Linked DNA regions of Drosophila melanogaster. The protein of the gene in region 2 purifies or fractionates together with the protein of the main gene of each other region. This does not show direct contact. Each region holds a gene or a part of one and is shown on either strand. Other genes may lie near its edges.

The links.
Region 1: the proteins of jet (region 2) and tim purify together in Drosophila melanogaster (affinity purification with western blotting, with the first as the bait; 2 studies listed by BioGRID). This does not show direct contact.

Annotation. Positions count from the first base shown.
Region 1 is NT_033779.5:3,503,262-3,510,348, forward strand, and holds the start of tim (timeless), read right to left. Parts: upstream 3,958-7,087; 5' UTR 3,935-3,957; exon of another isoform or gene 3,928-3,934; intron 3,496-3,927; 5' UTR 3,297-3,495; intron 1,318-3,296; 5' UTR 1,266-1,317; coding exon 1,100-1,265; intron 1,039-1,099; coding exon 1-1,038. Other genes in the region: CG31954 (uncharacterized protein), read right to left, coding at 5,911-6,466, 6,534-6,811. UniProt on the Drosophila melanogaster protein: Required for the production of circadian rhythms. The biological cycle depends on the rhythmic formation and nuclear localization of the TIM-PER complex. Light induces the degradation of TIM, which promotes elimination of PER.
Region 2 is NT_033779.5:4,947,029-4,953,018, forward strand, and holds jet (jetlag), read right to left. Parts: upstream 2,757-5,990; 5' UTR 2,646-2,756; coding exon 1,870-2,645; intron 1,744-1,869; coding exon 1,560-1,743; 3' UTR 1,532-1,559; coding exon of another isoform or gene 1,366-1,531; 3' UTR 1,178-1,365; downstream 1-1,177. Other genes in the region: betaggt-I (beta subunit of type I geranylgeranyl transferase), read left to right, coding at 1-805; Jon25Biii (jonah 25Biii), read right to left, coding at 2,944-3,720; Jon25Bii (jonah 25Bii), read right to left, coding at 5,256-5,990.

The DNA of each region.
Region 1 (7,087 bases), 1.4 Mb from region 2:
CCTCCTCGCCATGCTCGTTCAGTTGCCTGTGTCTCTGGTCCTCGTAATCTCCATCGTCCATGGACTCGCCGGCGGGCTGCGATTGCTCCGGCGATCCAGGCTGCTCGCTGTCGTTCCCCGTCATATCGCTGGCCTCTTCGGAGCCATCGGGCTTATCCGCTGGCACTCTGGCCATGGCGTTCTGATACTCCTGACCCTTGCGGCTCACCTCCTGCAAAGTGGCCGCTGTTCCTTCCCGCATGCCACCGCCCATGCCACGGCCATTGCTGCCATTGTCCGAGGAATCAGAGGTAGGATCAGAGGTCAGCATGGGGCTGGAATCGCCACTGCCCTGTTTGGGGGGCGAGGTATTACTCTCATTATCCTCAGAGCTCTCCGACAGAGAGGCTTCGAACCAGAGGCTAAGTAGTTTTTGCAGAGTGCTCACATGCTGATCCTTGTAGATCAAAGCAATCAGTTGCACCATGGTCACTCCCCAGAAGGCTCTCTGCGGACAGGTCATCAGATACAGGAGTAACTTGTCGATGCTCTGGATGAAGAGATTCCACAAGATCGTGTTCTGCATGGAGATGCCATGCGGCATCGACTGCATCATGGGCATCACGCAATGGGCATGCGTCTCTGGAATGTGCAGGATATTTCTCAGCAGCAGCAGACAGTTGTTGATTTGATCGCATTTGTGCGGCGACAGCTTAGGGTCCGACTCCAGTATGTGTTTCATGTACTCCACCACGCTCTTGGTGCTCCTGGCCTCGGTAAATGCTTCCTTGCTGGTGTACAGCAGCTTGTTCAGCTCGAAGATGGTGTGGCGACCCACATCCGTGCGGTACATCACGTCCACGGAGAAGAGGCACTCCACCGGCACCGTCAGATTGACGAGTATCCGGATGACCGACTCCAGGACCGCATCATCCTTGGCATTCTCCAGCAGCGGTATCAGGTCTGACCTCACATTCTGGCCAAATCCAATGGCCCGTCGAAAGGTGCGCAGTGTTTGGTCCTCATAGGTGAGCTTGTAGTTGATCTCCTCCAGAATGGCTGGGGATTGAAAATAAGTTAAATACCTAATTAATGTAGTAGTCCTATATTGATTACTCACCCAATGCATTCGGGTTGACCACATAGGTATCGCCCTCCAAGCAACCCAAGGAGGAGAACGCGCTGTACAACTGCGGAGTTGCTAGTAACCAGTCCATAACCGATTTCACTTTATCAAAGTTCTGATTATTCCAGATGTGATTGTGGAGCTGCCTAACTCTGCTCATTGTCGACTGCGAACATTGAGGTACTTCTTAGCCATTTGCGCGGTATCTGTAACTATAAGTAAACAAAAATGTATATTTAATTGTTATTAAAACTTAAATATTCTTAACGTGGTACCAGAGGTGAATTTAAATAATATTACACATTTAAACTGAGATGTGAAATGGTGAAAAATTTATGGCATTTTTGTAAGCTGTAACAGTCACCTTAAAATATGTTAAGGTCACTAACCCATCGTCTTCCAGGGCATTACGCAACCACAAATGATTCCCATAAATATTTGCACTCGCAAACAAAATCGCCACCCATGTGACCATCAAGGGCGCAGTCCATGCAATGTGCTGCAATTGCAGCCGCTCGGGGATGAAACCCGAATCAACTCCCATTCCACATCACCTCACACACGTGTCCGCACAGCACGTCTCCCATTTACCACCCGTTGCGAGTCGAATCAAGGAAACTGCCTACCAGACGAGCCCCGAAAGTTCCCAGAAGCCACACTTGCCAGTCCGGAAAGTGAAAAAGTGGGCTGGATTGGCAAACACCACCACCCCCCCCCCCCACACAGGGGGGAGCCCAACCTTCAGCCATCACGTAACGAGGCAAATCCTCAACAGGCGACTGCGGCACCCGGTGGCCGCATGTGACTCACTTGCAGACATCCGGGCTGATTGTGTAAACAACACAGTTGGAGGACAAAGCCACTGGGTTCGCAAACGGACTACGGACTACGGGACTCCGGAGGAACAAAGCCTGCAGTCGGAAAAGCCGACCACCCGTAGCGATATTTATAGGACATGAATCGGGATGCAGGATTTGGCATTTGTGCGGCTTCCAGCCTGCTGACTTTGAATGTTTCGTGCTATATTTGGCCATTAAAGCGAATGCAGTTTAGTTGCATTGGTTTTCGTTGCCCTCTTTTGGGCGAACACGTTAAATGGCACGCTAAATGGCCAAGAGCGGAAAATAAACAGCGCAAACAGTTGAGAAAATTTTAAAATTACAAAGCCATTTATGGCCTAGCTGATTTACTATAAAATTGTTTTAAAATGTAATAATGCTCAATAGGAAATTATATCTAAGAAGGGAGATTTAATTGTGTGTAAATTGAGGGACAATAAATTATGGACATTTTATAGAAAATATTAAAAAATATAATTAATAAGAAAACAGTGATATCTAAGAGAAAAAAAATAAAAATACTTTTCTTTTAAATTTTACTTAGATATTTCTACTGAAACTAATATCGAATTTTGTTGGTCGAGCATAATTTTTGCACCATCCGAAATCATAGATCATCTGAGCATCTTTGTATCTGTGAAACGTTTCTAGCAACCCCAATACCATTTCCGCTGACTGGTTATGAAATCAAAGACCCAACTTACATAAAACGCAAGGCGAGAACTACAAAATGATATGCGCATTGAAATTTCGAGCTGAGTATCTACTTTTCTTGGAGAGTGAAAACAATTTTCATTCTTTCGCAAAGGGGAAATTCATTGAAGCGAGGTTGAATTTGCATTTGAAACGGAAAGCAAAGATAGATCACGAATAAATATTTAAGATTTGAATTTGCAATGCAAATACATCTGAGGGTCGTTAAAATCCTAGCTAAACGAGCAGAAACCACTGAACATCTGTGTGCCAGGATGAAATCTGTCAGTTTCAGGACGATTCCCGTACTTATTTCGCTATCCTGTTTCTGACAGGAATTCCGTGGAAGGCCAAGCCTCCTTTTTTGACAGTTCACTGCGTGCTTTTTACATAAGAATTGTAACGGAGAATTGTTGTGCTTCGTAAATTGCCCCTTTAACTTGTTTTCATTTTCCCAGTATTATGTGATTTCGTTTTCATGTGGAAATGGGTTTTCTTTCTGTGCAAGCTTTAATTGCTTGAATATGTCGCCGCTTAAAGCTACTTTTTAGAAAGCTTTGTTAAAGTGTAATTTTGTCAGGGGTCAACTGATAACGAACTGTGTTAGGTCAGGTCTAAGCTATGTAATGTTAAATATACTAGTGGTTTATATTTCTTACCAATTATTTAAATTTTTTCTATCGCAGACAATTTTACTGTTTTAGTTTTAGCCGAATTGCAATCAACAATTAAAGCTGATTGTTTATGTTTCTAAGCAATTGAGCTTTTCTGAGCACTTTTTGGGTTTCTTTGCAGAATAGATCGTGTTATAGTTTCAGTGCTGTTATATACACTGATGAAATTATTTTTGTTTTATATCTGAAAGTAGTTTTAAGAATATTTGTTAGGGTAAATTCAGTTTTTTTGGTAATATTAAGATTTTAACCACTCATGAAAAATTTGTTAAGGATTTGCAATTTTATTTAACACTTTGTGAACTTTGCTTTGTTAACACTGCACAAAAAATTCTTTATACTCGTTGTTGGCTTATGTAAAATGCAACTTCAATAGCAATTAATTTGCACTTTTTTCGATTGCAATCTAGGCTAAACACTGAGAGAAAGACCAGTGAGTCATGTAAGCACTCTCTTTAAGATTATTGATATGTGAATTAATAAATATTATTGCATGAATTCACAAAAGTATTCAAGATTATTTTAGCAAAATATCTTTATTAAATTTTCTTTATTTAAGAGATATTTATTTTCGAAACTTCTATTTTGTTGATAAACTTCGAACCGCTCAACGAACCGCTTACTTGGAACGCACAATGCTGAATGCGATCTGAGTTACGGCTAGCTCACCGAAGTCAGATACAAAATGCATCTCACAGATACACACACTGACCGAAACACCCACTCACACAGGGCCAACGTGCCGCTGCCGGCGTTTGTGCGAACGAAAGACGCTAGCCGAAAGCTCTCGCCGCGCTGCTCCGTCCCGCTCGCACTCAATGCCGGACGGCCGGGGAAATCGGCTCACGTGTAATCACAACGTGCCGCACGTTTATTTGCCAACCGCCACTACGATGTTCGATAACATGAATAACCAGCGCCGGAAAATACGGAGAACAGTCTGGGAACAACAGCAATAGTCAGAACGTTTCTGTGCACTCAAAAAAAAAAAGTGTGTCACTTTACCAAATGGTATCTTCAATAACGAGACTTCACTTTACTTTAATACTTTACTTTACTTTATTTAATAAATGTATATATTTAGTGTGCAAAATAATTAATATAAATGATTTCAAAACTACGTTTTTTTTTGATTATACAACACTCACGTTTATATGTATATAATATATTCAATGACATATTTTGTTACATACATAAATATTATATTATTTTGTCTGCTGCTGTACTGTATTCCTCACAGACGTTTCACATTAAAACCAATATTTTTTTCAGTGTAAAGTTAAACGTTTTTGACGCCGCCTTCGAACGACTCTGCCGTAGGCTTCGTCAGGGTGACATTGTTCGGCTCTGAGTGCCTCAGATGATCCGTTGAATAATCCTTTTGGGAACGGAATCAACAGTTGGTTGCAGGCGCGGGCACACGCGGCGTATACGCACCGGGCTCATTGAATGCGTATACTGTGGGGAGCGTATATATTTACTTTGAGTGTTTCCACGGTGGCGCGAGCTGCAGCACGTCGGCACCGAATCGCGGTGGTAAATCGACTGGAAACGGAGGTTTAGGAAAATACTTTTGCTCGGACTGGGGCGATAGAAATAAATAACTGACACTCTCATTTTACGAAGTCACTCACTCACAATAGGCGATTTGACGTCAAAATGTTATTCAACCCAGACTATCAAATTCTATTATTTCAATAAGAAGATTAGTTGTCACAAAAAAAAGAAACAAATTAATAATGCTGTTAATTAGATGGTTAGACTTTTGTAAAAGGTGACAATCTAACTATATTTTTAATATAAAGGAGCAGATTTTGATTGAATACATTTCAACTATGAATTAATTTTTTTATTTTTTGCAAATAATATTTAAGTTATATATCCATTGCTGCAAAGTGAATGGAGAAAAACGAAAGTGCCAATGTAAGAACATAGCATTGATTAGACCACTTCAGCCGATCCGCCCAAAGTTTCCACTCAACGTAAGTTGTGCGATCACTTCGCCAATGCCAAGGCTATGCAAGTACATACATCTGAATTATGCAACGCCTGATGTTAATTTCTGTAAGCTAATTTATCACTAAGCAAACACAACAATGGCGGAGTCCGTTCAGCGGCAAAGTAAGCCACGCCAATGCACAAAAACTTGTCCCTACGTATACGTAATGCAAGTAATTGCGTATACGCCGCATGTAACACATGAACGGTGGACAGTCACGATGAAAGTTGGCTGATAAGCCTCCCAATCAAAAGCAAAACAATTAGATGCGATGCCCACTCCATCCCTCACAAACGGCCAAGGACTCGTGCAGCCCGACACATCCTCTTAACGTGGCCAAGTAGACTCATTTCCAACAACGCGACATGCGCCGGCGAAGTGTGCGATATCCTGGAGGGTCGCGTGTTTGAAATGCTGGCTGCGTGCTGGCAACGTGTGCGAATCCTTCTATTGAAGCGGCGCATTATGAAATGGTTCCATCGGATTGGTTGGCATCGTTTGATAATTTTTTATTGCGGGTATTTGAAATACATCTAGTCAAAGCAATCGCATAGGAAGAAATTGATTTCAAACTATGTTAACTGTGCAGGATATACGAATCTAGACACCACTGTGCTCCTTGATCCAATCCCGTGCGAAACTTACTCTTGAGTAGACACCCGGATAGTCGGGCTTAGCGCAACCGTAGCCCCAGCTAACCACGCCCACCAGCTCGCCCGATTCACTGACCATCGGACCGCCGGAATCGCCTTGGCACGCATCCTTTCCGCCTTCCAGAAATCCAGCACAGATCATTCGCTCGGTGACGCCGCCGTACTGTTTGTACTTCTCGCTGCAAAGCTCCTGATTGACCAGAGGCACCTCCACCTGACGCAGCCACTCGCGGGACTCCAGCAGGTTCTGGGTGTTGCCCCAACCACTCACGAAGCAAGCTTCCCCGTCCATGTATTTCATCTGAGACTCGGGCAGCTTGACCGCCTTTTTGGTCTCGTCAAACTTGATGGGATGAGCTAGCTGAAGCAGCGAGAAATCGTAGTCCACATTGGTGTAGTTGAACTGGGCGTGCTGCACGATCTTCTGCACCCGCAGAAGTTGGCCACTGCGAGCAAATTCGCTGGTTCCGAGTCGCACTTTCAGGCGATCTGCCGTTTTACCACTACGAAATCAGGAGGAATCATTTTTGGCATACTCTCTAGAGAAGATTCCTTGAGCGGCTTACTTACTATGTGCAATGGGCGGCAGTCAATATCCACTCCTCGGATATAATAGAACCGCCGCAAATATGGGACGAAGTCTGCAGCGAAACCTGATGTGGTGCATCGGTGATGTTGATGCGGTGACCGCCCACAATACGGCCATCCAGGCGGGGTGATAGCTTCCAGGGATTCTTTATAACATCCTCAAGCGATCGCTGCCTCTTAACGGGCTGTGGTATTAAACAAACGCCAGCCAGAACCAACAGGCTGCACTGCAGCAGTACAAACAAGCGGAGAGCCAACATGGTTGTTTAACATAAACCGAAGGTATTCAATGGCCTAAGGCAGAGTAAAACCTTATATAGGAATGCTTTTCTTGGATTAGTGATAGCCACCCAGTGGGTAGAAGACCCGCTGTGCCATCACTGCGCAGCTTATCCACCAGCTGACACACAAAATGCTCGGAACACATTCATTTCGGGGTGGCATTGGACACACTCTCATTTAAGAAGTCACTTGGTTTCCTCGATGTTTCAGAATAAAGTCGTTATCTTTCAGTTAGCATTCAATTGTTTAATTGG
Region 2 (5,990 bases):
TGATTTGTCCCGACTGGATCGGAAAAGCATTGTGGACGGAGTGGCTGCTGTTCAGAAGCCTGAGGGCAGTTTTAGCGCCTGCATCGATGGCAGCGAGGATGATATGCGATTTGTTTATTGTGCCGCCACCATATGCTACATGCTGGACTACTGGGGCGATGTCAACAAGGAGACCATGTTTCAGTTCATCACTCGGAGCCTGCGATACGATTACGGTTTCAGCCAAGAGCTGGAGGGGGAGGCCCATGGCGGCACCACATTCTGTGCCTTGGCGGCGTTGCATCTTAGTGGACAACTGCATCGCCTGGATGCCACGACGGTGGAGCGAATGAAGCGTTGGCTCATTTTCCGCCAGATGGATGGATTCCAAGGACGCCCCAATAAGCCAGTGGATACTTGTTATTCCTTCTGGATTGGTGCATCGCTATGTATTCTGGACGGCTTCGAACTAACCGATTATGCCCGGAACCGAGAATTCATTCTGAGCACACAGGATAAGCTCATTGGGGGCTTTGCCAAGTGGCCGCAAGCCACGCCTGATCCGTTTCACACATACCTCGGTCTCTGCGGACTAGCTTTCACGGGTGAACCTGGGCTAAGCCCCGTGAATCCCAGTCTGAACATGTCCATGGCCGCCTACGCTCACCTGCAGCATCTGCATGAGCAGTGGCGGTCCGCAGATGGCCGAGGCGACGAGGATATTAGTGTAAGCTCTGCATTCAAGCAACAACTCCACCTGTCAAAGGGGGTCGAGGCGACATCCACAACAACTACCTCTAACTCGCCATTAATTTCAGCACAATGATGGGAAGCCGCACAAAGCACGAGGGGAAAGTTAAAGCACACTATTGTATTTATATTGGCCACATTTTAGCCACGCTTTTTATGCCCTTGCAGTTAGTATATTTATTTTATCGAAAAGTTTGTAGCGCAGTGGATGAGGCATTTGCGACCATATAAACTATATATCAGTATCACCAGCGGAGTCGATACGGCCATGTCCGTCTGTCAGTTTCTATGCCAAATAGTCTCTTAGTTTAGCAATCTGCATGAACGGGTCGTTGTTTTTAATCGGTATAAATGTTATAATTACTGCAAGGGTATATAAGTTTCGGCTTGCCGATTCTAGCTTACTTTCTGGTTTACATGTATTTTAATGCAAAAAGCTCGAGCTTTTGGAGAGAGAGATGAATAAGTTAGTATGTTTATTGTACAGCCTAAATTAATGTTAACAATGTGTAAGATTAAGCTTAAAAGTAAATTAAAGCGTCCCATGCTGAGGCATGTATTTACAGCAAAAGTATTGGATAGCCTCGAAAGCCTCCTTGGTACATTGGTAATATTGGCCCGGAATCAGAATTAATCTCAAACCTGCAGGAACAGGCGGTGATGTTGCACAGTTGGCATGTAGCCCATGCCGGGCCGATCGATGTGGACCCGTCCACGAAGTGGGGCGAGCACACGCTCGGTGACCAATGGGCAGCGCTGCACCATCAGTGACTGCAGCAGCGGGCAACTGGAGGTGAGGGCACTGCGGAAGAGGGAGAACGAAGTGTGGGCTAGTAAACAAGGAAATCGCTGGGATAGAAGTCGTTCAAGTTGTAAGCGTTGAGCCCCACATCCGGCTGTGGCCTATCGATGTAAAGACGCCGCTGGCGGAGCGGCGCCAGGGAGAGTTCTGTGACCCGCGGACAACGTCGAATGAGCAAGGTCCGTAGCCGCAAACAGTGCACTGTCAAAGCGCTGAAAATACGCAGATGCGGATGCAGATGGAGATTGGTTTCCCCAGAAACACACAGACACAAGGCACGCACAGGTTTACTGACAATATGACAACAGCTTTTAGGGATAACTACGAGTATTACTTACTGCACGCCATAGTCGGAGATAGCCGCACACCCGATCACGTTGATGTGCTCCAGTTCGCGGCAATAGTTCCCGATTTGGATGAGCACCTGATCGGTGACACTGGGCGTATTTGCCAGCGACAGGACGGTGAGCTTGTTAAGTTTCCTGAAGAAGATAATCAAGCAGCGCTCTCCAATTGCGCCGCAATAGGAGATGTCGAACTCCACCAGCTTGCTTTGGTGCAGCGTCAAAGCGTCCACTGCTCCCGTGGTCAGCCACTGGCACTTGGACAGCTTGAGTACGCGCAGCTCCTTGCACTCCACTATGATCGGCTGCAGCGAAAGGGCCGTGATGTTGACGCATTCGTTCAGGTTGACGGCCCACAGGCGTTTCTTGTTGTTGGCCAGCAGTGGCAGCAGCAGCTCATCTGTTAGCCATCGGCAGCAGGCCAGATGAAGCACCTCCAATCGTTGGCAACATCGGGCCAGCACTCGAAAGGCCACGTCGATATTCTTTGTGTTGTTCCCAGAGAGATGAAGTTCCTGCCTTTTTTCCAGCGCAGCCTCCACAAAGCGTTGTGCGGTACGGGAGCAGCAGCGCAGGTTGAAGAGATCCTTGAGCGACAGGTAGACGGCAACCTGCGGGATGAGCACATCGTCCCAGCAGACATCAAACAGCGATCGTGGTGCTGCAATGGAGGCGGTGACCAATGGCCTTGGACTGGCCGTACGCGTTGGTTGTCCTCCGCTGGCCATGGCCATCAGGTGAGCTTCCTCCTCGGGGTGCAGAGTGCACATGCTGCCGCCTCCGGTTACGTGATCTACGCACCAACAAAGCACTCCCAACTCAATCCTTTGGTGCACGGCAAAAACGTAATTAATTGTTTACTTGATAGCAATCAGCTGTTGCTTTGGCATTCACACAAAACTGCTACAAAAATTATTTGTGTAATCTTACGCCGTGGTTTCTACACACGAGTAAAATTTGTTTTACACTGCGTAAAACAAGTGTAGAACACATACATTTTGTTGGTGACCCCGATTTATATACTCTCGAAACGTATTGCTTTTAAAATGATCGATTTATTTAGAAAAATTAGTAAGAGATGCCAGTGTGGTCACGGATCCAGTCCAAGTGGTAGGTGACGCGCTGGAATCCAGCAGGAGCACCCGACTGGCAGCCGTTGGAGGAGACGAAGTTGCTAACTCCCACCAGCTTGGAGCCGTCGTGTGTGACAAGGGGACCGCCAGAGTCACCTCCGCAAATGGACTTGCCGTCGACGGTGCGGGTGCAGATGACGTTGTCGCCAACGCTGCCGTAGGTCCAGCCGCACTCTTCGTTGTGGACGATCTGGAGATCGACGCACTGCAGCCAGTCGGGCAGTGGGCTGCCGTCGTAGGTGCCACCCCATCCGCAAGCGACGGCCCACCATTCGTTGTAGTTGTTGTAACGGTCGTTGTAGCTGGGGAGCTCCACCTTGTTCACCATGTGCCAGAAGTCGACGTGGGGGATGCGGATCAGGGCGATATCAGCGTTGGAATGCTTGATGAAGTTGCCGTTGCCAACGGTGTGGGTGAACTGGGCGTTGGTGCGCCAGGTGGCACCGAAGTAAACGATCACGGAAGCGGCATCTCCGATGCAGTGCTCGGCAGTCAGGACCCAGTCGTGGGCGATGATGGAGCCACCGCACCACCAGCCTCCGCTGAAGCCAAGACCCACAGTGTAGGGAGCCTTACCCTCGGGGGCGGCGTATCCGTTGGTGATACGACCCTCAATCTTGGTGGCCTTGGGCAGGTCCTTTACGAAGACCTTCTCGTCGAAGGCGGAGGCCGAAGCCACGGCCAGAGCCAGGATAGCTAGGAACACCTTCATGCTGATGTTTATACTGGATTCTACTCTCGGATGGCAGCCTTTTATACACATTTTCAGCTAAAACCATATCTGCAACTCGAAAAGGGCTCGTAAATAATCCTCAAGACTCCCATAAACGATGTCATCGATAAGAATGGAGGAACCACTCTACCAAGCCAGTAGTAGAAATCAAAGAAACTCTAGGGGGGACTAGACCCCCCCCACTAGACTATATATATTTATATATATTATATTATTTTATTATTTACCATATATTAAGTATGCAGCAATAAACAGCCAAATTATTATCTATCTAAATGGAATAATATTTTGTGGCTAATCAAATATGTTTGTAGTTTTATTCATAATTATAAAATATATATTTGTCAACCTTTGCGCAGACCATTCTATCTTATCATCATTTTTCAGAACTTAAAATTTACAATGATCTTTGGACAGGAATGATTTTCAATAAAGTTGTTTGTTAACTTTTACATAAAATGTATGTCTGCTTTTTGTCCTGATAAGGATAATCTGTAATAATGGCTGGAGGTTTTCCGCTTGTTTTCAAATCTATTACTAACTGTTGCCAAGTTAGGCTGAAGGATTCTCGACTATTATTAATTTAATAGACAATTAATAAGAACAACAACAAACCAAAACTTGATGCACAAGTGTATGATAACCCTATATACTCACAGGTTTTTGATAACAAGAATTACAAGTGCTTAAAAATAAAATAGTTTACAATTATTGTTCAAGTGTAAACAAATGTTTGAAAGTGATAATAAAATAGGTGTTGGAAAAATGTTAAAAACTTGTGTGTTATTTTCATAAAAATGCTGATTGAACTTCTTTACAGCAAAATTGTCAAAATTACTAAAAAAGTTAGCTGTCATTGAAGATAAGATTAAATCTAGTACAAATCTGTAAATTATTATTTGCTTGCTATTATATATAGCTTTTGCTTAAAGTTTCTAAACTATCCAATCGTTTTAATACTTACAAAAATATATCCAAAATAAAACAGAAACAAAATATACATCTGTATTTAATATTCTAAGAAAAACTGAAATATAAATTATCATTATTTAAATGAAGGAAAATTTTATTTATTATAAACAAGTTAAACAAAATGGAGATTTTAGCCACATGCGTAAACCCTTTAATCTTATCGAAGGTAGGTCTGAAAAATAAACAAATCCCTCCAAATCAATTGATAGAAAACTGAGATAGTAAGAGAAATAAACTAGACTGGCACTAACAACAAATGAAATACGCAATTCTTTATAACTTATAACACTACTTATCTTTCTGATTTAATTTAAATATGAGGCTTAACATTTAATCATAAATAATAATAAATTGGAAACCATATCATTCGTATTCTATGAAAACATTCTATGAAGATATCGAAAATCAATCTAAACCATACAAAATCAAGTATCTTGATCCTTAAGATAATCCATTTTAGTTTCCCCATTCCTTAAATTTAAACTATCGAATTAAAAAACAATTATCTATTAAATGCAGAAGGGTTTATTTCGAGAACGAAATTAGTAGGAGATGCCAGTGTGGTCGCGGATCCAGTCCAGGTAGCTGGTGACGCGGGTGAAGCCATCGGGCAGGCCCGAGGTGCAGCCGCTGGCGGCCACAAAGGAGGTGACACCGACCAGCTTGGAGCGGTCGTGGAGGACCAGTGGGCCGCCAGAGTCGCCGGCGCAGGTGGACTTGCCGCCGGGGGTGGAGGTGCAGATGACGTTGTCGGTGATCACATCGGTTCCATAGACGCTGGAGCACTCGTCGCGGGTGATGATCTGGGAGTCCACGCAGTTCAGGTAGTCGGAGACGCCACAGCTATCGCAAGGCCTGCCCCATCCGGAGGCTAGAGCCCACCAGCCGGCAAAGCTGTCGTGGCGCTCGTTGCCATCGGGCAGCTCCACCTTGTTGATCAGGTGCCAGAAGTCCACGTGCGGGGTGTTGATCAGCGAGATGTCGTTGTTCAGGTTGTTGGTGTTGTAGTCCGAGTGCTGGCGGAAGTGGCCGCTGCCCACGGTGTGGGTGTACTGAGCCTGGAGGCGCCACAGAGCACCGTAGTAGATGGTGACGGAGTGAGCTCCGTGGGTGCAGTGGGCAGCCGTGATCACCCAGGTGTGACCGATGATCGAGCCACCGCACCACCAGCCACCGCTGTCGCTGCTGAAGCCCAGACCCACGATGTAGGGCACCTTGCCCTCGTAGGCGGGATAGCCGTTGGTAATGCGACCCTCGATCGAGCCGGATCCGGATCC